7 linked regions of the Callithrix jacchus genome follow. The protein of the gene in region 5 interacts with the protein of the main gene of each other region in a biochemical or structural test. Links are inferred from orthologs where the notes say so. Each region holds a gene or a part of one and is shown on either strand. Other genes may lie near its edges.

What was found.
Region 1: the proteins of ERBB2 (region 5) and GRAP2 form a complex in vitro, tested with the Homo sapiens proteins (2 studies listed by BioGRID and IntAct, with this or other methods). The link is inferred for Callithrix jacchus from reciprocal best matches to the Homo sapiens genes ERBB2 and GRAP2.
Region 2: the proteins of ERBB2 (region 5) and PTPN11 form a complex in vitro, tested with the Homo sapiens proteins (2 studies listed by BioGRID and IntAct, with this or other methods). The link is inferred for Callithrix jacchus from reciprocal best matches to the Homo sapiens genes ERBB2 and PTPN11.
Region 3: the proteins of ERBB2 (region 5) and SHC3 form a complex in vitro, tested with the Homo sapiens proteins (2 studies listed by BioGRID and IntAct, with this or other methods). The link is inferred for Callithrix jacchus from reciprocal best matches to the Homo sapiens genes ERBB2 and SHC3.
Region 4: the proteins of ERBB2 (region 5) and BLNK form a complex in vitro, tested with the Homo sapiens proteins (2 studies listed by BioGRID and IntAct, with this or other methods). The link is inferred for Callithrix jacchus from reciprocal best matches to the Homo sapiens genes ERBB2 and BLNK.
Region 6: the proteins of ERBB2 (region 5) and SHC2 form a complex in vitro, tested with the Homo sapiens proteins (2 studies listed by BioGRID and IntAct, with this or other methods). The link is inferred for Callithrix jacchus from reciprocal best matches to the Homo sapiens genes ERBB2 and SHC2.
Region 7: the proteins of ERBB2 (region 5) and BLK form a complex in vitro, tested with the Homo sapiens proteins (2 studies listed by BioGRID and IntAct, with this or other methods). The link is inferred for Callithrix jacchus from reciprocal best matches to the Homo sapiens genes ERBB2 and BLK.

The regions. Positions count from the first base shown.
Region 1 is NC_133502.1:190,692,082-190,695,581, reverse strand, and holds part of GRAP2 (GRB2-related adapter protein 2), read right to left. Parts: intron 1,163-3,500; coding exon 994-1,162; intron 1-993. UniProt on the Homo sapiens protein: Interacts with SLP-76 to regulate NF-AT activation. Binds to tyrosine-phosphorylated shc.
Region 2 is NC_133510.1:115,365,349-115,369,498, forward strand, and holds the start of PTPN11 (tyrosine-protein phosphatase non-receptor type 11), read left to right. Parts: upstream 1-1,350; 5' UTR 1,351-1,557; coding exon 1,558-1,571; intron 1,572-4,150. UniProt on the Homo sapiens protein: Acts downstream of various receptor and cytoplasmic protein tyrosine kinases to participate in the signal transduction from the cell surface to the nucleus. Positively regulates MAPK signal transduction pathway. Dephosphorylates GAB1, ARHGAP35 and EGFR.
Region 3 is NC_133502.1:73,024,775-73,029,066, reverse strand, and holds the start of SHC3 (SHC-transforming protein 3), read left to right. Parts: upstream 1-1,492; 5' UTR 1,493-1,850; coding exon 1,851-2,324; intron 2,325-3,336; exon of another isoform or gene 3,337-3,383; coding exon of another isoform or gene 3,384-3,428; intron 3,429-4,292. UniProt on the Homo sapiens protein: Signaling adapter that couples activated growth factor receptors to signaling pathway in neurons. Involved in the signal transduction pathways of neurotrophin-activated Trk receptors in cortical neurons.
Region 4 is NC_133513.1:89,066,060-89,069,559, forward strand, and holds part of BLNK (B-cell linker protein), read right to left. Parts: intron 2,832-3,500; coding exon 2,675-2,831; intron 1-2,674. UniProt on the Homo sapiens protein: Functions as a central linker protein, downstream of the B-cell receptor (BCR), bridging the SYK kinase to a multitude of signaling pathways and regulating biological outcomes of B-cell function and development.
Region 5 is NC_133506.1:120,174,685-120,178,184, reverse strand, and holds part of ERBB2 (receptor tyrosine-protein kinase erbB-2), read right to left. Parts: intron 820-3,500; coding exon 746-819; intron 660-745; coding exon 569-659; intron 381-568; coding exon 181-380; intron 1-180. UniProt on the Homo sapiens protein: Protein tyrosine kinase that is part of several cell surface receptor complexes, but that apparently needs a coreceptor for ligand binding. Essential component of a neuregulin-receptor complex, although neuregulins do not interact with it alone.
Region 6 is NC_133523.1:421,351-424,850, forward strand, and holds part of SHC2 (SHC-transforming protein 2), read right to left. Parts: intron 1,647-3,500; coding exon 1,339-1,646; intron 1-1,338. UniProt on the Homo sapiens protein: Signaling adapter that couples activated growth factor receptors to signaling pathway in neurons. Involved in the signal transduction pathways of neurotrophin-activated Trk receptors in cortical neurons.
Region 7 is NC_133514.1:10,499,035-10,502,534, reverse strand, and holds part of BLK (tyrosine-protein kinase Blk), read left to right. Parts: intron 1-1,025; coding exon 1,026-1,176; intron 1,177-2,739; coding exon 2,740-2,871; intron 2,872-3,500. UniProt on the Homo sapiens protein: Non-receptor tyrosine kinase involved in B-lymphocyte development, differentiation and signaling. B-cell receptor (BCR) signaling requires a tight regulation of several protein tyrosine kinases and phosphatases, and associated coreceptors.

The sequences.
Region 1 (3,500 bases), on a different chromosome or scaffold from region 5:
CAGATGAGAAAACTGATACTCAGAAGGTTTCTTAACTTGGCTAGGTAATACAAGTAGCTAAGCGATTAAATCAGGATTTCATACCAGGTCTGTCTGATGCATTTTCTTTTAAAGCAATACTCTGTGTTGCAAACAGTTCCAACAGCAAGAATTCCAAGTGCAGATTTCTCCTTGTGTCCTCCCCACCCCCAATCCTATCATCACACTCAACCTGCTATTTAATCCCCGGACCCTAGGCTGTTCCTTAATGCCCTTGTCTGTTGCACCCCCAACTCCTTCATCCTTGGGCAACTCTTACGCTCGGTTGAAAACTATGGTGTAGCAATGTCTACAAATAACAAAAAAATAGCACCTGTGGCTGGGCATGGTGGCTCACGCCTGTAATCCCAACACTTTGGGAGGCAGAGACTGGTGGGTCATGAGGTCAGGAGTTCGAGACCAGCCTGACCAACATGGTGAAACCCCGTCTCTACTACAAATACAAAAATTAGCCAGGCGTGGTGGTTTGCGCCTATAGTCCCAGCTACTCAGGAGGCTGAGGCAGGAGAATCACTTGACCCTGGGAGGCAGAGGTTGCAGTGGGCCAAGATTATACCACTGTACTCTAGCCTGGGAGACAGAGCAAGACTCCATCTCAAAAAAAATAAAATAAATACATAAAAGAAAACCCAGCACCTGCGGTGGGAGCTGATGTTTGTCTAGTGCAGTATGGTGAGGAATAACAGGAAGCATGAGACACATCATCTTCTCCCACCTTCGTAGTCACCTGGGAGGTAGATATTACCATTATCCCTATTTTATGGATGAGGAGGCTGAGGCTCAGACAACTTCCAAAGTCACACAACTGGGAAGTGTTGCACTCAGAGTTCAGAGTTCTGTCTTTCAGTCTACTGAGAGGATCTGCCCCGCCCATGCATTTTTCCTGGTGGTTTGAGTCAGAACTCAGGCTGCCTAAACTCTCTGGATTGGGGTTGATCGGGACCTGGAACATACCTGGTCTTCTCGGGTTCTGTCTCTGAGGAAGATCTGCTTCTGTTTGGAGATAGAGGTTGTCCTGTAGTAGTCCACCAGCTTATTTAGGGAGGGGAACTTCTCCGTCCATAGGAAGTAACTGCCCTTATTGTCTCGCATGACCTTGAAGTGTTGAACGTCATCCTCATGCCTGGAGATCAAGGCAAAGAAACTGTATGTTATACTATGATGATGTCCCTGCCTCCAGGCTGCTTGCATCTGGGATGCAGCTCTCTTTGGGAAGGAGATGTAGATTTGGATGACTCCCTCATCACCAGGCAGGTGGGCCAGCCCAGTCAGGCTTCAGCAGGAGCTTTGTAGGATGAACCACTTAGGATACAAGCTATGATAGAGGGGATTTACATCAGAAGAAGGTAATGAGATGAGCTAAAATTTGTCTTGGACACTGGAACTAACCTTTAACAAGAAAAGCATGTTCCAAGTGTTGTAACGACTGAGAGATCAAAGACCTTTTCACAATGTCTATTTGCAAAATCTCAGTGTGGGTATTTCAAGCTCCTATTATCTTTCTGTTACCAGAGTACTTTGAACCACTTCCTTTAAGCTCATAAACCAGCACTGGCAGGTAAGAAGCTACTCTCTTCCCTAAGAAATATGTCACATTTGTTCTCTATGTAGTAAGAATCTCTTGATCTTGGTTTATGTTTTGCATAAATAAGGTTACAAAGCATTTTCAGCTTTTGGGGAAAATAGCTTTGTATGAAATCAGAGGTTTTAAATGTTTCTTTTCTTTTTTTTTTTTTTTAGACAGAGTCTCACTCTGTTGCCCAGGCTGGAGTGTAGTGGTGCGATCTTGGCTCATTGCAACCTCTGTCTTCAGGTTCAAGTGATTCTCCTGTCTCAGCCTCCTGAGTAACTGGGATTACAAGCGCCCACCCAATGCCTGGCTAACGGCTAACTTTTTCATAGTTTTAGTAAAGATTGGGTTTAACCATGTTGGTCAGGCTGGTCTTAAAGTTCTGACCTCTGGTGATCCACCCACTTTGGCCTCCCAAAGTGCTAGGATTACAGATGTGAGCCACCATGCCGGGTAGAATGATCAGAGTTTTAATTGAAAAGGATCTTGGAGATTGTTTAGCCTTACTTCTCCATTTCACAGATGAGAACACTGAGAGGACTCAGAGAGGCCCAGGGTTGAGGCCAGAACCCCTGAGTCTCTGACTCCAGTCTAGTGAGCTTGGCCTGTGATAACGTCTTTTAGATCAGCACCTTTTGATACCAGTTTAGATTCACAAGTGATGGGACACGTGTGAAGCAGGGCTAGAGAAAATGGATTTCATCTATCTAGGAAGGGTGGGCTGAGCCTTTACCATTATTAGATCCAGTATTACTTCATTGCCAAGTCATTCTCTTTTGGAAGTAAGTCTGTTTTTCAAACAGTCATACATTTATATCTAAAAATAAATTGGCACTAGTGATGCCAACTGCCTGATAGAAAAGAAAGGTTAAGGATTTTAAAGGGTCTCAGAGAATAAAGATACCTCTGAGAGTAAGTGGAGGTTTCTTAGGGATGGATTTATGGATCTGTGTTAAAAAGGAGATGGAAATTCTGACCCTCAATCTCATCTTATGTGCTGGGATTTGCTCATAGCGGGGTGAAGCCAAAGGTTGTACAAGTGGCCTCTGGCTTGACTGATTTGGGGTGGTAATCAATACATCACAATCACTGCGTAGGCTTCCCTTTGGTTTTTGGCCACCAATAGATACTTTCTTCATTCTAAGACAACGTGGCTCAACTCAAAGTCATTACCCTTCACATCTGGGTCAGGAGGAGGAAATATACTTGTGATATTATAATTTATTCATCCACCACCTCATAGTCAAAGAACTCAGAGTGTGAAACACTGCCCCTTTTACTCTGACGAGCTGTAAAGATGGATGTGAGGGTTGTAATTGGTCATCTGGGTCTACAAGGAGAGGCCTGACCACTGTCTCAAGCCTGAAGAGGAACAGAGGAAAGGATGCGATTCAGGGCAATAGACTCTGAAATCTAGTGGTTTAGGCCCTTAACAAATGCAGAGTGATAGAACTACAATTAGCTCTTAATTATCTGTGCCCATGACAGATGTAAAAATAATTAACAATGATTTTGCTTTGGAATATATTATACTACATTTCTGTAGAAGATGTGATAATGATTATGGTAATTGCCACCAGAACTAGAAGCTTCATTGCCTCAATATCAGGGGAAGACTTTGGCAGAAGTCAAGGCTGTTTTGTAAAATTCATTTTAATAAAGGAAATATAAACCATAGTTTCAGGGTCGGGTGTGATGGCTCATGCCCGTAAGCCCAGAACTTTGGGAGGCCAAGGCGGAAAGATCACATGAGGCCAGGAGTTCAAGACAAGCCTGGACAACATGGCAAAACCCCCTCTCTACTAAATCCCTACTCACAGACACAAATTAGCTGTGTGTGGTGGTGCAAACCTGTGGTCCCAGCTACTGGGGAGGCTGAGGCATAAGAATC
Region 2 (4,150 bases), on a different chromosome or scaffold from region 5:
ATATATTAAAAGTGATCTTTGTCAGGAGCATGAGTGCTGAAGCAGTTAGCACACAGTATGAGAGTTATTTGTATGTGAATGTAATGGACAAGCATTAAACAAATGAGGATTCTGGAGCTATGTAGACATGGGTTAAACTTATGGCTCTGCCATTCACTAAATCTGTGCCCTTTATTTATTTTTGAGAAGTAGTTTAGCTCTGTTGCCCAGGATGGAGTGCAGTGGTGCAATCTGGGCTCACTGCAACCTCTGCCTGTCCGGGTCAAGCAATTCTCCTACCTCAGCCTTCCGAGTAGCTGGGTCTACAGGTGTGCGCCACCAATCTCCACTAATCTTTTTATTTCTAGTAGAGACAGGATTTCACCAAATTTGCCAGGCTCGTCTTGAACTCCTGACCTCAAGTGATCCATTCTTCTCGGCCTCCCAAAGTGCTGGGATGGCGTGAGCCACCATACCTTGCCTGAGCAGTAGCACGATCTCGGCTCACTGCAGTCTCAACTTTCCAGGCTCGAGTAATCCTCACCTCAGACTCCGGAGTAGCTGGGACTACAGGTGCGCGCCACCACGCCCAGTCAATTTTTGTATTTTTTTTTGTAGAGATGGGATCTCACTATTTTTACCGGGCTGGTCACTAACTCCTGGGCTCAAGTGATTCGCCGGCCTCTGGGATTTCAGGCGTGCGCCATAGCGCTCAGCCCAAAGTATTTTTTTTTTTTTTTTAAGGCAGGGTCTCGCCCTGTCGCCCAGGCGGAAGTGCAGTGGTGTGATCACAACTCACTACAGCCCGGACTTCTCGGGCTCAAGTGATCCTCCCGCCGCAGCCTCCACGCCCGGTTAGTTTTTTTCTATTTTTTTGTAGAAAAGATGAGGCCTCGCTTTGTTGCCCAAGCTGTCCTCGAACTCCTGGGCTCAAGCGATCCTCCAGCCGCAGCCTCCCAAAATGTTGGGATGGTGGGCCTGAGCCACCGCGCCCGGCCTACTATCTTTATCTTACATAAATAAATAATGGAGGAAACTGAGGCTCGGAGACAGTAAGTAATTTCCCTAAGGTTCCATCCACAGCTAATGAGAGGAGCGGCGATTTGTGGAACGAAATGAATGAAATCGATGTGGCAGCGGGCCCGAAAGCGCCGGGTCGGTGAAGCCGCGTAGAGGCGGAGCGCACAGCTCACACCCGGTGGCCGCGGTTTTCAGGAGGAAACGTGGGTGCTTTGGTCACTGCGCGTGGCGCCTCCGCGGAGACCCCGCGCTGCCATTCTCGGCCGTCGCTCAGTTCTCGGCTGACGGGAAGCAGGAAGTGGCGGCGGGCGTCGCGAGCGGTGACATCACGGGGCGACGGCAGCGAAGGGCGGGGGCGGAGGAGGAGCGAGCCGGGCCGGGGGGCGGCTGCACAGTCTCCGGGATCCCCAGGCCTGGAGGGGGGTCTGTGCGCGGCCGGCTGGCTCTGTCCTGCGTCCGGTCCCGAGCGGGCCTCCCTCGGGCCAGCCCGATGTGACCGAGCCCAGCGGAGCCTGAGCAAGGAGCGGGTCCGTCGCGGAGCCGGAGGGCGGGAGGAACATGACATCGCGGAGGTGAGGAGCCCTGAGGGGCCCGGCTCGGGCCTCGGCCCGGCCCCCGCCGCGCTCTGTCAGCCCCGTCCGGAAGGGGGCGCCCCGGCCGGGCTTCGGACTGCCGTCCCGGATCGGGTTGGGGGCAGGTTCCCTCCTCGTCCCCTCGCCCTCCCGGGGCCGGAGGCCGACCCCACCGCGCCCCGACCCCTCGGGTTCCCATTCATTTCCTGCCTCCCCGAGTTCCGGCTGCGGCAGCCCGGGGGATGCCCGTCAGGCCCCGGGCAGGTAGAGCCGCCGAGGGAACCACGGGCGCCGGCGGACCGGCTCAGCGCCGCATTCCTGACCCATTGCCTCATGAGAATTGCCTCATGGTGATTCCGAAATAACTGCTCACTTGGGGAGGCTCCTTGGGACATGAGAGGGGAGTTGCGTGGGGCCGGACCCCCAGTGGTCTAGCCGTTTTGGGTCACTGTGCCACTTGCGTGCATTTGGGGACTACGCAGGACCCCTGAGGCTTTTACATGCCCCTTTGTGTCTTCTTTTTCTCCTACCCCTCACGTGCCAGAAATGGAAAAACTGACTGTATGTGCAGCCACTAGAAGTATTTCCTTCCTCTGCGATCTTCGCTTTGGGAGATGAAAAGGAAGGGAGCCACATTCTCGTTATTTAATCCTTCACTGCAACCTTAAAGTCAGGTCACTTTACTGGTACCCGTTTTATGGATGAGGAAACCGAGGCCCAGAAGTTACGTGCTGTAAATGACAAAATTTGAAACTAAGGAGGATTAGTGAGTTAATGAGATCCTTTGAAAGGTCAGGGTAAATATACTACTAATAGCTAACATTTGCTTAGTTCTGGCGGCCCTATCAGATGGCTGTTATCCTCATTGTAAAGATGAGTAGGCCGAGATTCAAAGGTTAAGCAAATTGCCTCACAGCAAGTAGGTGGTGGAGACAGAATCCCTACCTTTAATCAGTATGTTGCTTCTATTATTTTGTAACTATTTGTAAGCCTTAATTTTGTTGTCAAACAGTGGTGTGACCTGTTGTTTTCAGATAATGATCCTGTTATTTTGTGTGGTCACTGTATATACCACCACACTTAAGACCCATTATCTATTCTTTTCCATGGTTGTTCAATTATGGTCACTGTCATAGACATTTAAAAAGCGATTCAAGCTATTGGGGCTATTTGAATGAGACTTTTCAAAATATTAGGAATGCCTCCTCCAAACACACCTGCCATGTTATTCATACATGGATCTGAAGCTTAAAAAGGGGAGAAAAAAGAAAACTGAGAACTGGTTGGAAGTGAGTGACTTGGACAGGTCTGTTGGCAAGTGTTTACAGATCTGGGTAATATATAACTGCATTTCAACAGAACAGTGTGTAGCCTCAAATGTTCTAATTCTTTAGGGAGCTTTTAAATAAAACAGTTGTCTATTCTTTAATCTGTCAAATAGTCATTGAGCCTTTTGTTCCTGGTGTCTGCTCTTCCAGACAAGTAAGGATCTGCTGCTTTAGGAGACAAAAAGAAAGGGGGCTGGGGGTTGGGAAAAGGTCTGGGGAGTAATAGACCCTACATTGTCCAGTTTGTTGGTTTAGAAGCAGAGAAGTGTGGGCATAGTCAAAGCAGCAAGTAAATGGTAAAGATGACAGTTTGAAAATGGAGCAATGACTTCTCCCCTCCAGCCCTGATATTGTGTACCACCCAAAAAGCCAGATTATGAACATAATACATATAATTTTGAATGATTTATTTTTTTTGGATTGTGAATCTGTTTTATTTGTTAAGCAGCCTTAATAAGGTATAAATGACATATGATAAATTGCATATATTTAAATGTACAATTTCATCAGTTTTGGCATACATATACACTTGGGAAACCATCACCACAGTCAAGATAATGAACACATCTACCATCTCTCGTGATTTTGCCTCGTGTTCTTTATAATCCCTCCTTTGTTCTTAGGCTTTCTGTCACTATATATTAGTTTGCATTTCCTAGAATTTTATTTTTTAAAAATTTTAAAATTGTTAGAATAGAGATGGGGTCTTGCCGTGTTGCCCACGGCAGTCTCAAACTCCTTTGTTCAGGTGATCCTCTCACCTTGGCCTCCTGAAGTATTGGGATTATAGGTATGAGCCACCCTGCGCAGCCCTAGAATTTTATTTTATTATTATTGTTATTATGATGGTTTTTTTGAGATAGTGTCTCACTCTGCTGCCCAGGCTGGAGTGCAGTGGTGTGGTCACTGCAGCCTTGATTTCCTTGGCTCCCTCCCTCCTCAGCTTCCCAATTAGTGGGGCTACAGGTGTGTACCACCACACCTGGCTAATTTTTGTATTTTTTTTGTAGAGACAGGGTTTTGCCATGTTGGCCAGGCTGGTCTCAAACTCCTGTGCTCAAGCGATCCTCCTGCTTTGGCCTCCCAAAGTGCTGGGATTATAGGCATGAGACACTGTGCCCGGACTTCAAATTATTTTAACCTAGTATTAATTCATTCAACAAGTAGTTAATGAGCCAGGTAGGATAAAGCAATAAATAGGGATATATTGCTGTTTTCGTGGCTGAGAGAGAGCAAACAAACACATGACTA
Region 3 (4,292 bases), on a different chromosome or scaffold from region 5:
TTGTCCGCATCTAATGAAGATCTCGCTTTGGGAATGATAGGGCTGTTTCGCTTCAGATCTGGGGAGGACTCTGATAACCATCAAAATCTTCTATGGGGTGTGCAATTGCTGTTGCTATGCAAGCCAGGGGAAAGGAACAAATGAGTGCCGTGTGGCTGTTCTGCTAGGGCTGCGGCACAGGAGGCGAGCCGTGGGGACGCGCTTCCTGTGCCGGGGACGCCGCGGCTCCTCTGCGCTCCTGCGTCCTAGTGGTTGGCTTCACCCGCTCGCCCGCCATGAGTGGTGCTCATTAAACGCTGCTCCGTAGAGCAGGGTTCAAGACTGGGGACCTCACGTGCCCCACATGTTCGGTCATGGGCGTGAGAGGACTCAGGGTGACCTGAGAGTGCGCTAAAGGTGAATTTATTCTCTTGCTCGGAAGTTGCGGGGAAACTTTGATAGTGAGTGTTTCACTGTGGAGCAGGTGATCTTAATGCATGAGGAAGGCTGGCAGAGCCCACTGAAGTCAAGAGTCAGCTTCAGTCTCGGGCAGACCTTCGGGGACGGCGAAAGCCTTGCTCTCCTAACTGAGAGGAAGAAGGCCTGTGCATTTTACTTGCAAGCCCGAGCCTGACTCCTGAAAAGAAGGCATATTTTCCCCCCTGTGGATTTGATGTGCAATGAGAACAGCTGCATTTTTTCCTTCCTGACTGCAGGGTTGCAAGCAGCAACCGAAGGAACACTGAAATGTATTTGCAGCATTTCTTAGGCGTTTTTCCAGACCTTAAACACATTCAGTAGGAATAAAGCTTCAAATGCAGCCCCTATTTTGGAATGGATTTCTGGAGCCTGTAGCCACTCGTCAAAGCAGCAGTTTTCTTCTTTTTTGGACGTGGATATTCAACTTAACCCTGGCTGAGAAAGACTGCTGTAAATTAGCAGGGAAGACCCCTTGATTGGCACTGTGCAGAAGTTCATATGCAGATTTTTTTTTTAAGGAACTGCATTGCCACAAAGACACTTGTCATCGCTGCTCTGTTCATTTGAAAAGAAAAAGAAAAACCCAGGAAATTGGTATTTTATGTTCACCTGGTGGTGAATATCCTTTTTGTTTTTTCTATTTAAAAATTCCTGCTGCCTTCCAAGTCAGGATTCATCAGGATTCGCTGAAGATCTGATTCTTAAAAAGCCTTCGTCACATTTTAACGCATCGCTGTTAGACACTTTTACAGGCTCACACAGATGGGCTGAGCAGGGACGAGCAAACCCTAACAGAATAATGGGTTTCAGAAAGTTCATTTGACGATTTGAAGGAACTGGATTGGATTTACCTTTGGCACAAATGCAGAGTGCGGGGGATGGGAAGGTGAAAAATCAAAGGTTGGAAGGAAATCTCTGGGAAGGTAGAAAAAGGAAATTTGAGAATTGATTGGCTCTAGTGTGCTGTCAGCGGGTGGATGTCGTTTTTTTCTTCTTTTTTCCTTTTTTTTTTTTCTGCTACAGGAAGTGATTTGCAGTGCTCACCGAGCCTTTGTTGAGAAGGGTCTCCTCTCAGAGTGAGTCATGCTTTTGCTGTGAGCAGCCCCAAGCAGCTGGGCGCTCCATCAGAGGCAACTATGACTTTTGCAAAGCAAACGTGCAACCCCAAGCAGTGGTCTCCCGGGCCGGGGCTGCGCGGCCGCTGCTGTGCTGGTTTTTAATGGTGGGAGGGCACCATTCTCGTGCTCTGCTCTCCCTCTCCAGAAGGCTGTCCCGGGGCCCCCACTCTCCGTCCCGCTCCGGGGACAGCGGCTCGCCTGCTATGCGCGGCAGCCCGCGCCGGGGCCGGCACCAGCAGCGCCCGGGCGGATGCAGCGAGCCCACGGAGGGGCATGCTTCCACGCACCAAGTACAACCGCTTCAGGAATGACTCGGTGACATCGGTCGATGACCTTCTCCACAGTCTGTCGGTGAGCGGCGGCGGAGGCAAGGTCTCGGCGGCGCGCTCGACCCCGGCTGCGGCTCCCTACTTGGTGTCCGGCGAGGCGCTGCGCAAGGCGCCCGACGATGGGCCCGGCAGCCTGGGCCACCTGCTCCACAAGGTGTCCCACCTGAAACTCTCCAGCTCCGGCCTCCGCGGCCTGTCGTCGGCCGCCCGGGAGCGGGCGGGCGCGCGGCTCTCCGGCAGCTGCAGCGCGCCCAGCCTGGCTGCCCCGGACGGCAGCGCGCCCCCGGCGCCCCGCGCCCCGGCCATGAACGCCGCCAGGAAAGGCCGGCCAGGCGACGAGCCGCTGCCCAGGCCCCCTCGGGGGGCGCCGCACGCCAGCGACCAGGTGCTGGGGCCCGGAGTCACCTACGTGGTCAAGGTGGGTGTGAGCGCGGGCTGCCCTGGGTGTCGGGGGTCCCGGGGCCTGTGTGGGGGCCAGTTCGGGGCAGACCCCTTCCTTCCCTGAAGCCCGGAGTGCGGGGCGTACCCGCGACTGTCACGTTAGAGGCAAGAAAATGCGCACTCCTTAGTAATCACCTAGCTTGACAGCGGTGAGGAGGGAACTACAAATGCGCCTTTCCAGCATCCTTTGGGAAAAGGTTTACCACTCGGGTGACCCGCTCCGTCCCGATTTTCCCTGGGCTCCACTTTTTTGGCACGCCTTTGCCACCTGGCTTACCAGATGTCCGGCCAGTGTCGTGGGCGCCCAGTCCTGGACAGCGGGGGTCCGGTCTGCCTAGTATCTAGGAAACGCGCTGGGGAGACCTGGGCAGCCCCGGGGAGGAGAAAGCACGGAGTGGCCCTACTCCTGCTGTGTCTTCCCCTGCAGGAGGGTGGGTACCTTATTCCCACCGCAGCAAGAATTCCCAGCTCCTTGCAGAGCAGGCCAAATGCTGTGTTGCTTTCTCTTCGACGGGCTCTACTTTCTCACCCAGGCCAGGTTTTCTTTGGGTTTGTCTTTCATTCCTTAAGGAAAGGTTCTGGTTTACAGCAGCGAAACAAGAATTCTAGGACTACTTTTCTGGTGACTGTAGTCTTCCATTTAAATGTGCTAAAAAGGAACGAGGGCGCTGAGCTAGGAGCCACAGGCTGGAAAGGAGTTTTTTTCCTCCAACACAAAGATGATAAAATCACGATGTAGTCCATAAAATTCCACCCTTATGCAAGCGTGCTGTGATATTTAAGGAAAAATCCTCAGCACAGTTCAAGTAATCTGCCACGCGGTTATTTCCTTCTGTCCGTTGGGCAGCCCCGAGCTTTCCCAGCCTCCACAGCCGAGCAGACATCCCCTACACAAGGGGTTAAGGTTGGAAGTTGCAGTGTTACAATCCTGCCACTCCAAGGCATGGCTTTGTATTGAAAAAGAAATGAGACACAAACTCTATCCCCTCGGTGTCCTCAATAACACTGAGAAACCCGCAGGATGTCTATTCCGTAAATGCTGCAGATTCCAGTTTTAAAATCCAACAGAACATATTCTCAGGTAAAATGCAATATCTGGTAATTTTGGAACCAAATCATTAACAGAAATACTTAACTTTATGGGTTGCCTTTAAGTATATAAAAAGTACTTGCAGATGAATGTGACCATTGGTCTTAGAAGAGGGCCTCTTCATCTTTTCAGTCTGCCTTTTAATTTAATCTTGATTTTAGCTTCTAAGTATAATTATTTTATTTTACCAAAGGAATAGAAATGAGCATAAAATATACATATTTGGTTGAGTTTATTTTAAGAGAAACTGAAGATTCTTCTTGTTTTGCTTATTTAAATTATGTAACCAGGGGCCAAAAACAAAAAGGATAAACCAAAGCAAGCAAGCAAACAAACAAAAACCTCTGATGGCTTTGAGGCTGTGTTGACTTCTAGAGTGTGAGTATAATGGCTGTTTTAAAAAGACTACATTTCAAATAGACAAACAGACCTTGGCAAAGCTTTTTGTACCTGTCATATTAAACAGAGTTGTTTTCAAATTGAGGGAGAATTCTCAAACTTGCCTTTAAATTTTTGTTTTAATCACTTTACTTAGGGCTTTGCTTTGGCTTTGTAAAAAAGAAGGCAGGCATCCAGTTTGAAAGGTCAAAAGTGGCAAAATTATGATGAATGTCCTAAAATAAGACAGCTCGCCACCGACAATCTGTTGCTGTAAGTTTGTGACTTACCGGCAGCATCAGCAGCAGTATTCATGGTCAAAGGGCTGGATCTGCACAGAGCTTATCTGTGTCTTGGGAATACTTTCTGTTGCCACATTTAAGGGGTTGCAGTAACGGGTGGCAGTGCATGGCATGATTAATTAGGGCTCTGTACCGTCCATGGTTTGCTTCATTGTTCACTGGCCACTGTGAATGG
Region 4 (3,500 bases), on a different chromosome or scaffold from region 5:
ATTATGTGCCTTGGGGTTGCTCTTCTTGAGGAATATCTTTGTGGTGTTCTCTGTATTACCTGGGGTTGAATATTGACCTGCTTTGCTAGTTCAGGAAAATTTTCCTGAATAATATCTTGAAGAGTATTTTCCAGCTTGGATTCATTCTCTCCGTCGCATTCAGGTACACCTATCAAACGTAAATTTGGTCTTTTCACATAGTCCCACATTTCTTGGAGACTTTGCTCATTCCTTTTTAGCCTTTTTTCTCTAATTTGTCTTCTTGTTTTCTTTCATTAAGTTGGACTTTGACCTCTGTTATCCTTTCTTCTGCTTGAACAATTCAAGTGTTTAAACCTGTGCATACTTCTCAGAGTTCCTGTATTGTATTCTTCAGTTCCATTAATTCACTTATATTCCTCTCTAAGTTGTCTATTCTCAATAGGATTTCGTCAAACCTTTTTTCAAAGTTCCTAGTTTCTTTATGTTGGGCTACAACATGTTCTTTTAACTCACAGAAGTTTCTTATTATCCATTCCTTGAAGATAATAAGAAACTTATTGGGATGTGCTCGTTCTCCATCAAGCCTTGTTCCATTGTTGATGTGGAACTGTGATCATCTTTAGAGGGAGAGGCGTTCTGATTTTGAGTATTCTCAGCCTTTTTACGCTGGTTTCTTCCCATTATTGTAAATTTATCCTCCTGTCGTCTTTGAAATTACCAACTTTCAGATTAGGTCTCTTGATTGGATGTCCAAGTTGTTAGTTCCCAGGGCCAGAACGGAGGTGTTAAGACTGATGGTGCTTTTCTGCCCAGGATTCTCCTGTCTGGCTTCCTTCTTGTGTCCCTAATGGGCGACTCTGCCTTCCCCGGGCTCCAAACCTCAGTCAGAAGGGGAACCAGTCTTGTTTATTCTGCGCCGAGAGCTGCCGCGCCGAGGTGCGATCACAGCCGCTGCGCCAGCTGTCAGGAGTCGTGCTGGGGACCCGTGTGGGTCCTCCAAATCTCGGTCAGAAGGGGAGCCGGCCCTGTTTACTCTGCTCCAAGAGCTGCCGCACCGAGGTGCCGGCGAAGCCGCTGCACTGGCCACAAGAGTCGCGCTGGCGACCCGTGTGGTTCCTCCACTGGGGATCTTCTGCTCCAGGAGTGACCAGAATTTGTCTAAAAGTGTGGCGTCCTCTAGTCCTCTGCGCTTTGACTGAAAGCTGCAATCCCGAGCTGTTATCAATCGACCATCTTGGATCGTTCCTCCATTTTTATTTTTTATTTTTATTTTTGAGACAGAGTCTTGCTCTGCTGACCAGACTGGAGTGCAGTGGTGTGATCTCTGTTCACTGCAACCTCTGCCTCCCAGGTTCAAGTGATTCTCCTGCCTCAGTCTCCAGAGTCACTGAGATTATAGACACCCACCACCATGCCTGGCTAATTTTTGTATTTTTAGTAGAGAAGGGGTTTTACCATGTTGGCCAGGCTGGTCTCAAACTCCTGACCTCAGGTGATCCACCTACTTCAGCCTCCCAAAGTGCAAGGTTACAGGTATAAGCCACTGTGCCGAGCCAAGAGTGTGCTCTTGAATGAGCCACTTAACCACCCTGAATTGCAGCAGCTGTTTCCTTCTCAGGGTTGCTATGATGACTGAAAAAGGTCGTTCAGCAAGTATGGTGAGTGGTACCTAGAGCAGAGTTGTGAAGAGTTGGGCTTCGGGAGCTGAGAGGCCTGGCCTGTATCCCAGCTCCGTCACTTAGAGAACTTTGGCCCAGTCAGTTCATTCCTCTGACCTCTTTCACAAGATTATTGAGGGGGGCTAAGTGGACTCCCAGGGGAAAGCCCTAAACTGTAAATGAGAAGAGCTCTGGGAGTCTGTCCGTCTTGCTTGCAGCTGAATGCTCAGTGCTTAGCATAGTTCTGGTGCACTGCAGGAGTTCGAGACCAGCCTGGCCAACATGAGGAAATTCTGTCTCTACTAAAAATACAAAAATTAGCCGGGTGTGGTGGTGGGCATCTGTGATTCCAGCTACTTGAGAGGCTGAGGCAGGAGGTTGAATCCAGGAGGCAGAGGTTGCAGCGAGCCAACTTCATGCCACTGCACTCCAGCCTGGGTGACAGAACAAGACTCTGTCTAAAAAAAAAAGAAAGAAAGAAAGAAAGAAAAAGTGTCTGCCCAGACATAAGCTTAGCTGTGTCCATTTAACGCATGAGGCTGATTCCAAGCTTGGGGCTTCTGAGCACCTGTACCCCCTGGTAAAATGCCACAGTCTGGACTAGGCATGGGAATAAGGACAGGCAGACACTGGGATCCTTGAAGGTCATTGTTCTGTACAGACTTTAGGAAAATTCCAGCATCTGGAGCACATGAAGCACTAAAAGTGGGGACTAATCTCAGGGCTGCTTTCCCTGTGACTGTTGGTCAGGGGGCACAATGATCAGGGTATGCTGGTTTTATTTATTTATTTATTTTTGGCTGCTTTCAATGTTCCCAATCTAGGAAAGATGCCCGTTCCCCTGGAATGAGAAACCCTTATAGCTTGAGCTTCATTAACTGAGAGACCAGAACCCCTGCTCGGAGGTGATGGGAGTGGGAGGCAGGCAGAAGCCCTCAGGCAGCAGCCACGTTTGCTCCCACCCTGCAATCTCGGCCACCCCACCGTCTCATGGGCCTGGAAGGCAGAGTGCCCAGGTCTGCAGGGGGCCTCACCTACATACTCGCCCCTGGCGAAGGGCAGGGCTGGGTGAACCGGCCTGGTCTCCTGCTCCACCGGAGGCGGCTCGTAGCTGTCATCCACATTCTCCTCGGCAGGCATCACGTACATCTCTGAATCCGAGTGCTCGTCTGGATTTTCATAGTCACTGTCCTGCAAGTGCAATGCAGTTACTGTGCTTGGCATCCCTGTCTGTGCTGCCCTCGCCATAGTCAGGACCATTGCTGCCTTGGGAGGCTGAAGCAGTGACGCCAAGACTTGGAGAAGCTGCCAAGGCTAGGCAGTTGGTAAGAGGCAAAGCTGGGGTTTGAAGCAGGCATTTTTACCGCCAAAGTTTATCCCTTCAACCACTGTGCTGTCCTGGGGGTACACATGAACCACTTAACGCTATTGGGAGTTGACTCTCTGTAGATCCACAAGGAATAACAGTAGGGGATAATAAAACCTATTTTTAAAAAGGCTGATCACAAGGTCAGGAGATCGAGACCATCCTGGCTAACATGGTGAAACCCCGTCTCTACTAAAAATACAAAAATTAGCTGGGCATGGTGGCACGTGCTTGTAATCCCAGATACTCAGGAAGCTGAGGCAGGAGAATTGCTTGAACCCAGGAAGCGGAGGTTGCAGTGAGCCAAGATCGCGCCATTGCACTCCAGTCTGGCACCTGGTGACGGAGTGAGACTCTGTCTCAAAAAAAAAAAAAAATAAATAAATAAATAAATAAAAAGGATAGAAAAAGGGGCTACCGTGGTGGCTCATGCCTATAATTCTAGCACTTTGGGAAGTTGAGGTGGGCAGATCGCCTGAGCTCAGGAGACCAGC
Region 5 (3,500 bases):
CCAAGGCAGGTAGGACCCAGCTAGAGAAGCCATGCCAAGAGGCCAAGCCAGCCAGAGCTGAGTCAAGAGGGTGCACAGGGACAGGCAGCCTGAACAAGTCCAAGAACGCTGCTGCCAGAACCCTGTGGGCACTCCTATGTGCTGGCAGATGGGGAGTACACACTGGGCTCCCTGTCTTACCACACTCATGCTCTGGCCGGTTGGCAGTGTGGAGCAGGGCTTGGTGCGGGTTCCGGAAGAGATTGTCCCAGGGCACCGTGTGCACGAAGCAGAGGCGTGCATTGTGGTGGATGAGGGCCAGTCCACTGCCCAGTTCCCGCAGTGAGCGCAGCCCCAGCCAGCTGATGCCCAGGCCTTGCAGGGTCAGCAAGTAGGCGCCACTATGGGAGAACGCACGCCCTTCACAGTCAGCAAAGGCTACCTTCATCTTCCTCTGTCCCCAGCACACTCTACAAACTCTCACGGAAAGGTTACTGCTGTGTCCCGGGGGAAAAGGAGTACTCCCCCAGGCCAAAAGCTTCCCACAGGGACTCCTCCCCTATCAGGCCCCCTCTTTCCCAGTGCTCACTTGTGCAGAATTCGTCCTCGGATTACTTGCAGGTTCTGGAAGACGCTGAGGTCGGGCAGGCTGTCTGGCCATGCTGAGATGTACAGGTAACCTGCAGGTAGAGGGTGAGATGAGGGGGTTGGAGACACGACAAGGACTCCCAGCCCCTGCAGAGCATGATACAAAGACAGGGCCCACCTGTGATCTCTTCCAGAGTCTCAAACACTTGGAGCTGCTCTGGCTGTAGGGGGACGGTGTTGGAGGCTGGGTCCCTGGAGGAATCAGGAGAGGAGTCAGCAGGGCCAAGAACAGGCTGGACATCACTCCCAGCGCTGGGTGTGCCAGCCCACTCCCCGCCGTGAATGCCTTCCCTCAAACCCTTTGCCCATCCAGGACTTCAAAGCCCAGGCCTTAGTTTGGCAGCATCTATGAAAACAGTATTTATCCTTTGATCTAGAAATCTTGTTTCTAGGAATGTGACCTAGGGAGACACTGGCCTGTGTTCCCAGAGCCACATACGAGGTGGAACTGTTTGTAAGAGTGAAAATGGAACATGATCCCAATGTCTATTAGTAAATAGGGGAGCTGTTAAATAAAACCCTGAGCCACCAGACCACATAATAAAAACCAGCATTTAGGAGCACTTAGTATCTGCCAGGCACTGTTCCAAGAGCTTTACAAATATTAACTCAGAGGCCGGGTGCAGTGGCTCACTCCTGTAATCCCAGCACTTTGGGAGGCCAAGGCGGGTAGATCACGAGGTCAAGAGATCGAGACCATCCTGGTCAACAAGGTGAAACCCTGTCTCTACTAAAAATACAAAAATTAGCTGGGCATGGTGGTGCGTGCCTGTAGTCCCAGCTACTCGGGAGGCTGAGGCAGGAGAATTGCTTGAACCCAGGAGGCGGAGGTTATGGTGAGCCGAGATCATGCCATTGCACTCCAGCCTGGGTAACAACAGCGAAACTCTGTCTCAAAACAAAAAACAAAACAAAACAAAAAAAACACAAATATTAACTCATTCAAATTTTATAATCATCTGGCCAGGCACAGTGATACAATCATCTTATGAGGCTGGGACTATTCTTGGTCCCATTTTACAGATGAGGAAACTGAAGCACAGCATGAGGGTCACATGCCTAGTAAGTAGTACAGCCAAGTAGTCTGGCTCCAGGTTTCAAACCTAGGTAGTCTGGCTCCCAAGTCTGGGCTCTTAGCTGCCTCTCCTTGCTGCCATCTTCTCAGCAGCTATTGAGAGAACAAGGCAGTTCGACTCCCAAAGCAAGGTGCAGACAGTGCTCCCCATATGCTCCCGTTTACAGAAACCAACCTCCCCACCAAAACAGTGAAAACCACACTTCACTGTGTGTCTACAGATGCATAAATGGTCTAGATAAACAGACACACTGTTAACCCTGATCCCCTCTGGACTGGAGAGTGGAGGTAAAGGAAACATGAAAGAGAATTTTCTTTTCTTTCTTTTTCTTGAGACAGGGTCTCACTCTTTCAGCAGTGCAGTGGCATGATGTCAACTCACTGCAACCTCCACCTCCCAGGCTCAGGTGATTCTCCCACCTCAGTCTCCCTAGTAGCTGAGACTACAGGTGAACACCACCATGCCTGGCTAATTTTTTCTGTTCTTTGTAAGGATGGGATTTCACTATGTTTCCTTGAACTCCTGGGCTAATCAATCCTCCTGCCTCAGCCTCCCAAAGTGCTGGGATTACAGGTGTGAGCCAATGCCTGTAATGTGCACCACCGAGCCTGGTGCTTTTTTTTTTTTTTTTTTTTTGCAACAGGGTCTCATTCTGTTGCCCAGGCTGGAGTGCAGTGGCAAAATAGCTCACTGCAACCTTCACCTCCCAGGTTCAAGCGATTCTCCTGGCTCAGCCTCCCAACTAGCTGGGACTACATGCGCACACCACCAAGCCTGGCTAATTTTTTTATTGTAGAGACAGGGTTTCACCACATTGGCCAGGCTAGTCTTGAACTCCTGACCTCAAGTGATCTGCCTGCCTGAACCTCCCAAAGTGCTGGAATTACAGGTGTGAGCCACTGTGCCTGGCCCCAATTCATTTTTTATTGAAGTATAACTTATATACAATAAAATACACAGACTCTGAGCATACAGTTTGATGTTTTGACAAAAGCACTCACTCATGTATCCACTACCCCAATCAATATACAGAACATTTTTCTTTCTCTTTTTTTTTTTTTTTTTTTTTTTTTGAGACAGAGTCTTCCTTTGTTGCCCAGGCTGGAGTGCAGAGCCACGATCTTGGCTCACTGCAACCTCTGCCTCCCAGGTTCAAGCGATTCTCCTGCCTTAGCCCCCTGAGTAGCTGGGATTACAGGCACGCACCACCACGCCTGGATAATTTTTGTATGTTTAGCTGAGACAGGGTTTCACCATGTTGGTCAGGCTGGTCTCGAACTCCTGACCTCATGAGCCACTCTCCTCAGCCTCCCAAAGTGGTGGAATTACAGGCATGAGCCACCATGCCTGACCCAGAACATTTTTCTGTTACCCCAGAAATGTCCCTTGTGTCCCTCCCTTTTGAGGCCCCACACACACTAGCGCAGCCACCGTCCTGATCTCTCCAGCCACAGAGTGGTTTTGTGTGTTCACAGCCTCACATAAAGGGGATCAGACAGGATGGAATCTTGGCTTCTTTTGCTCAGTGCAATGTGCCTGAGATTCATTCATGTTGTATTGGTAGCTCATCTCCTTCTGTTGCTAAGTAGAATTTCACCAAATGGATATACTGCCGCTTGTTTAACCTTTCATCTAGTTATGCACATTTGAGTTTTTTATAATTTGGGGATATTTTAAATCAAGCTGCTATGAACTCAAAGGGAATTTTGCTTTATCTAGATGGTCTGACCTCCTTACAAGTCCTTGTTCACAGATCGCATGTCCTTTACAAAAATAACCACCCCCACCCCAAAGGCC
Region 6 (3,500 bases), on a different chromosome or scaffold from region 5:
TCGGGGTCGATGTCCACAGACCTCCCAGCTGTGCCCACTCACCGTGCCCTCGGGGTCATATGCCCACAGACCCCCAGCTGTGCCCACTCACCGTGCCCTCGGAGTCAGATGCCCACAGACCCCCAGCTATGCCCACTCACCATGCCCTCGGGGTCATATGCCCACAGACCCCCCAGCTGTGCCCACTCACCACGCCCTCCGGGTCAGATGCCCACAGACCCCCCAGCTGTGCCCACTCACCACGCCCTCTGGGTCGGATGCCCACAGACTCCCCAGCTGTGCCCACTCACCACGCCCTCCGGGTCGGATGCCCACAGACCCCCCAGCTGTGCCCACTCACCACGCCCTCCGGGTCGGATGCCCACAGACCCCCCCAGCTGTGCCCACTCACCGTGCCCTCAGGGTTATATGCCCACAGACCCCCAGCTGTGCCCACTCACCGTGCCCTCGGAGTCAGATGCCCACAGACCCCCAGCTATGCCCACTCACCATGCCCTCGGGGTCATATGCCCACAGACCCCCCAGCTGTGCCCACTCACCACGCCCTCCGGGTCAGATGCCCACAGACCCCCCAGCTGTGCCCACTCACCACGCCCTCTGGGTCGGATGCCCACAGACTCCCCAGCTGTGCCCACTCACCACGCCCTCCGGGTCGGATGCCCACAGACCCCCCAGCTGTGCCCACTCACCACGCCCTCCGGGTCGGATGCCCACAGACCCCCCCAGCTGTGCCCACTCACCGTGCCCTCAGGGTTATATGCCCACAGACCCCCAAGCTGTGCCCACTCACCATGCCCTAGGGGTCGGATGCCCACAGACCCCCAGCTGTGCCCACTCACCGTGCCCTCGGGGTCATATGCCCACAGACCCCCCCAGCTGTGCCCACTCACCGCGCCCTCCAGGTCGGATGCCCACAGACTCCCCAGCCGTGCCCACTCACCGCACCCTCGGGGTTGGATGCCCGCAGACCCCCCAGCCGTGCCCACTCACCACACCCTCGGGGTTCGATGCCCACAGACCCCCCAGTTGTGCCCACTCAACGTGCCCTCAGTGTCATGCCCACAGACCCCCCAGCTGTGCCCACTCACCGTGCCCTCGGTGTCATGCCCACAGACCCCCCAGCTGTGCCCACTCACCATGCCCTTGGGGTCATATGCCCACAGGCCCCCCAGCTGTGCCCACTCACCGTGCCCTCGGTGTCGGATGCCCACAGACCCCCCAGCCGTGCCCACTCACCACACCCTCGGGGTCGGATGCCCACAGAACCCCCAGCTGTGCCCACTCACCGCACCCTCAGGGTCGGATGCCCACAGACTCCCCCCAGCTGTGCCCACTCACCGCGCCCTCAGGGTCCACCAGCAGCAGGTGCTTGGGCCGCCCCGCGTGCATGCCAGTGAGGACATACTGCCCGGGGTTGGTGACGCTGTCCCGCACCAGGAAGTCCCCGTCCGCACGAAGCAGCCTCTCTGCCGCCCGGCGGCTCATCCGGCCGTGGTACCAGGGCTCCTGCCGCAGCTGCTCCTCTGTAGGGGCCACTGGGGCCCGGCGGGTTGGGGGGCTGGGCCACTGGTCCTCCAAGGGAAGGGGGGCTGCTGTACCCGTGGCCACTGAGCACTCATGCAGCTTCAAGGCATCCTCAAAGGGTCCTGTGGGCAAGGACAGCAGTGCTGGGCGGGCAGGGGCCGCGTAGGGGGCTGGGCAGCTACTCCTGCCGGGACCAGAGCTGAGAGCAACGGGTTCCCCTAGGAATCCTGCAGACCAGGGACAGGAGAGCTGGGAGGGCAGGGACCACGTAGGGGTCTGGGCAGCTGCTCCTGCCAGGACGAGGGCTGGGAGGAACGGGTTCCCCGGGGAGGCCCCCCCTGACCTTATCGGCCTGCGCTGACCGAGCACCCACAGCGTATCAGACCCGCACTCCACTCAGCCCCATGCGTGCTGTGGCTCACGTGTGCAGCAGCTGGAAGCCCGGGCTGAGTTTTGTAAGCTTGTAAGAGGGCGGCAGCCACTCTGTGTTTCAGACATAAACTCCTATTTCTCCTTCTCGCCTTGTTAGGCGGGCTTCCTTCCTGAAGGGTCCCCTCCTGTTTCCTCACTGGCCTTACTGCGCTGGCCACGACCTCCAGCACACGCCACACGCCCACACGGGAGCAGGCTCCCTCTGTGGTCCTGAGCGCCAGCGAAAACCCTCTTAATCATCCGCCCGGGTTTCCTGAAGGTTCCAATGGTACCAACCTCCAACAGGCCACTCAGGCCTCCTGGGAGCCTCAGTCCCCTCGCTGTAAAGCAGGGGTGGGTGTTTCCCCAGGCAGAAAGCAGTGCAGCTCAGACGCTGCAGCCCGGGACCCCGGCCCTGACGGAGATGCAGCTACCTGTGGGTGGGGTGGCCTCGAATTCCTCTAACTCCTGGTCCCGGAGTCCTCCCACCCTGACCCTTACCACCTGGTCTCCCTGTGGTGGGGTGGCCCTGCACTCCTCCAGCTCCTGGTCCCCGGAGTCCTCCCGCCCTGACCCTGGCGCTGAGCCACCTCCGACTCCTAGCCTGGCCACTCTGCATGTTCCTCGCCCTCCAGCCAGCAGTTGGTTTGGGAATAACCATGTGGCAAATCAGAAGCAGCCAGAGGACTCTGCGTGGAGGACAGACGAGAAGCCGCCCTCCCTCACTGGGGGCTGCTTGGCAGTCAGTCCGGTCGCCCTGAGGGTCGCCTGCCTCGGAGGGAACTCACAGCTCAAGCCCCTCCTTTCCCATCTGAGGCTGCCGCGAGGGGCCGAGAGGGCCTGGCTCTGTGCAGCGCTTGGTGCTGAGGAGGCGCCCACTGGGTGCCAGCTGGTGTCATCAGTGTGATGCTAAGAAGCTGCGTTGTCAGAGGGTGGAGGGAAGGAAGGAACCTACAGCCAGCTGGGGAGGTGTCCGGGGCCTGGGCGAGGACCCCACCCGGCAGCTCAGAGCCAGCACCCCTCGTGCTGCAGCACGGACGCTGCAGGAAATCCAGAGACAACTCTGGACACCTTTGGCGAGGAAGGACGAGCCTCCTCCTTCAGACTGGGGCCTCCCTCGGGCTGGGCCATCCCACTGGGAAGGAAGGAAGGAAGGGGCTCCATCCGACTAGCCACTGTGTCGGGGTGTGGACCGAGCCTCCCTCCTTGGACCAGGGGTTCCTTCAAGCAGGAAGCTGCGCCTCCCCCGTCAGGCTGGGACTTCCATAGGAAGAATCCTCGGAGTCACATGGAGAGAAAGCTTAATTTCCTCATCAGATCAGGGAGTCCCAGAGTCGGGTGCACGACCCACAGAGCAGGTGGCCACCCGAGCCCCGGCAGGCAGCAGGTCCCACAGAGAAAAGACAAGGCCTCCCCTCTCGGACTAAGGAGTCCGCAGGGCATGGAGCGTGGGTCTGGCTTCCCCTGTTGACCGGAGGGTCTCACAGAGGGGGCCGCAGCCTCCCGCCACATGGACCATTCTTTCAAGAAATGACGAACCCCCTCCCTTCAGACGGTGGGGGGAT
Region 7 (3,500 bases), on a different chromosome or scaffold from region 5:
GGATGGAAGGATGGATGGATGAATAGATGGATGGATGGATGTGTGGATGGATGGATAGATGGATGGTTGGATGGATGTGTGGATGGATGGATGGATGGATGTGTGGATGGATGGATGGAAGGATGGATGGATGGATGAGTTGGATGCATGGATAGATGGATGGATTCATGGATAAACCAATGAAATGCAAGCATCAGGTGAAGTGGGATCAATTCTAGTGCTGGCTTCTTGTAGTCGCAAGTCTGATGAGGTAAATGTGCTCTCTGTTTTCTGTCTGCCTTAGTTTCTCCATCCACTGATTGAATAAAGCCTTAGTTTCCTCAGCTACAAGGCACCAAGCAGCACAAGCTGCTATCCCTGGCCCAGCTGGTGAGCTGGGGAGCAGAGACCAGGCTTGTCTTCCTCACGGTCTCTGTCCACTCGGATCTGCCAGTGCTCCCTGCGTGCCCCCATGAGGCAGGTGTTGGGCAAGGTCCTCGGCCACAAGTCACCTCATCTAATGCTTGCCTCAACCCCGCGCCCTGAAAACCATATCCCTCACGTTCCAGGTCAGGACTGTGGCCCCTCGGGGAGGTTAAGCACTTCCTGGAGGTCAGTGACTCCAGCCGAGGGCTCCCAGCTCCAGGAGCTGTGCTCCCAGCCAGCCGGGGAGAGTCGCCTGTCCCTGTCTCCTGCTCCCCGTCTCCTTCCTTCCCTTTCTTCTTTTCTCCCTCACTCTCCTTTTCTCCTGTCTGTGTTCTTCTACCTTCCATCTCTGCAGACCTTGGACACAGCTGTGTCGAGGGAAAATGAGGAGGGGGAGGGGCACAGGTAGCCCGGTGTCTCTGATGCCCACGTTGCTGCCGTCCTGGGCTTCTAGGACAGGGGTTTATTCAGCTGAGGAGCAGCACAGCCAACTTTCTACTCCACCCAAGAAGCAGCTCCTTCCCCAGCAGCCCACAGGGGCTGTGCAGGGGCCACAGGGTGGGCTCGGTCCTGGTGTGGAGGCCCCCATGATGTACTTCACCGTGTACCTGTTCCCTCAGATTGCTGAAGGGATGGCGTACATCGAGCGCATGAATTCCATCCACCGCGACCTGCGGGCGGCTAACATCCTGGTGTCTGAGACCTTGTGCTGCAAGATTGCTGATTTTGGCTTGGCTCGGATCATCGACAGTGAATACATGGCCCAGGAGGGTGAGTACAGCCCCCAACCACGAGAGAAACCTGAGCCCTTACCTTCCCCAGCCCCTCAAAGCCCCCTTAATTCCTCCCAGCACAGCCCTGAGGGAAGACACCCGAGGGCTAGACTGTTTCCAAACTCTACATCAGCATTTCTTTCACTTCCCCGATGTGTTCAGCAGCACAGTAGTGCCCCAAGACCTCCCACGGAGGAACAGCTTTAGGATAAGGTTGGTTTGGAGAAACAGTAGTCCACCCCCTCCCTGCCTTGGAGATTCCCAGTGTATATCAACATATTAAAGGCACTGAGAAGTCCTGCAGCAAAGGAACCGTTTACATTCGCCTCACCTAGTGCCTCCCAAACTAATTTGAGCTCCAAATACTTTTTTTTTTTTTTTTTTTGAGATGGAGTCTCTGTCACTCAGGCTGGAGTGCAGTGGCACAATCTTGGCTCACTACAGCCTCTGCCTCCTGGGTTCAAGCAATTCTCCTGCCTCAGCCTCCCAAGTAGACGGGATTACAGGCAAATACCACTACACCTGGCTAATTTTTGTATTTTTAGTACAGACAGGGTTTCACCATGTTGGCCAGGCTGGTCTTGAACCCTTGACCTCAGGTGATCCACCTGCCTCGGCCTCCCAAAGTGCTGAGATTACAGGCATGAGCCACCGTACCCAGCCCCAGATACTATTTTTATGTAGCGCCTATTAACCTTCCACAGAAGTAGGCTTTCCCAGAGCACACTGTGGGAAACACAGCTTTCATGCGTGAGCAGCAAACCTTCTGAATTACGGGGTCCACGGAGCATTCTGTCTGATTCTGTGAATTAGAATCTCCACAGAGCCCTCTGTCTTACTCTGTGAATATAATTGAGGTGGAAATCTCCTTCACAAGAGAAACTGAAGTGATCACACACATTTATCAAGCAAGCAAGCTGTATTCGCTTAGCGTACGAGTGACAGCCAGACGGGATATGGTTTGCTCTCTCGGGAACTCAGGCTGGCTGGGGAGACCGAGAAATGTAGGCCAGGGGAGGCCATGATGTGCCAGACTCTGAGGCCTGCTCCAAATGCTGGCCAGGCCCAGCCACCTCGGGCTTCACAGGGTGGCCGGATGTGAGTCCTTCCTCGGAGCGGCCTCCCAGGTGCCAGTGTCACCGTTTCCATTTGGCAGGAAGGGACTCACAGAGGCTCCACCAGCTTTGAATGGCTCACCCAGGCTGTGTTTTCTTTATTAAACAAGGCCCCTGTGAGGCGGAACACGCCCCTTCCATCCCAGGTGGAAATGTGGTGGCTGCCCATTGACGCCACTCACTCTATTTTTAAAGAACCAAAGTGGGACTGCATGGTACCAGTGTCCATATTGTCCTTCTGTGCTGCAGATGCCTCTGCACTCACCTGGCATGCATCCTGGTGTGTGGCAGTGGCTCCCCCACCGTGTCTGGCTGCCCTGTCCTGCAAGGCCCCACAGTGGGGGACTAAGGGAAGGACAGCAGGAGCAGGGGTAGGGTGAGGGTAGGGTGGAGAGTAGAGGCCACCCACCATGGCCTCCCAAAGCTGTGCATGGCTTTTCCTGCAGGGGCCAAGTTCCCCATCAAGTGGACTGCCCCAGAAGCCATCCACTTCGGGGTCTTCACCATCAAAGCTGATGTGTGGTCATTTGGAGTCCTCCTGATGGAAGTCGTCACTTACGGGCGGGTGCCATACCCAGGTAGGCGGCTCGCTCCGCAGCTCTCACGGGCTTCCTGCTTTCCCTGCTGGCTCTGGCGGCAGGTCCTGTCCCTGTGCCTGTGGCTGCCCCCTTCTTTTCAGAGTAAGTCCCAGGGTGGGGACGGAGACCCAGGTGTGGCATCTGGGGTGGAGCTCTGGCCCCTGCATCACTATGACTCCAGGCCACAGGGCTGCCTCCTTCCTCCAGCAAAGGTCACAAGCCTCACAGACTGGAATCAAGACAAAGGCACACCCGAATTCAAAGTTATTCCCAGTGGTCTGTTCTCAGTTGAGGACGGGTTGTGCCTACCTTGGCATCACACCCATAGTGGATTCCAAAAGCCCCATCCTGAATGGGCAGAATCGTGGACGCCAGCCCCCAGCCCCCAGCCCCTGTCAGAAGGGCTTGGATGGCTTGGGCCGGGCAGCTGGGCAGGCTCTGGGTCACCTGCTGCTGTGTGCACCTGCCAGCTGCCCGTGAGTGATGGGCTTAGCTGTGCCCCTGGCAGTCACAGTAATCAAGACATGGAGGGTGCCATCCACAGAGGACCTGCCCAACACGCAGGAGAAAATCTTTCTTTCCTAGGCGTTCCTAAGCAATAAAAAGGACTGTTTAGAGGCTGGGCCTGT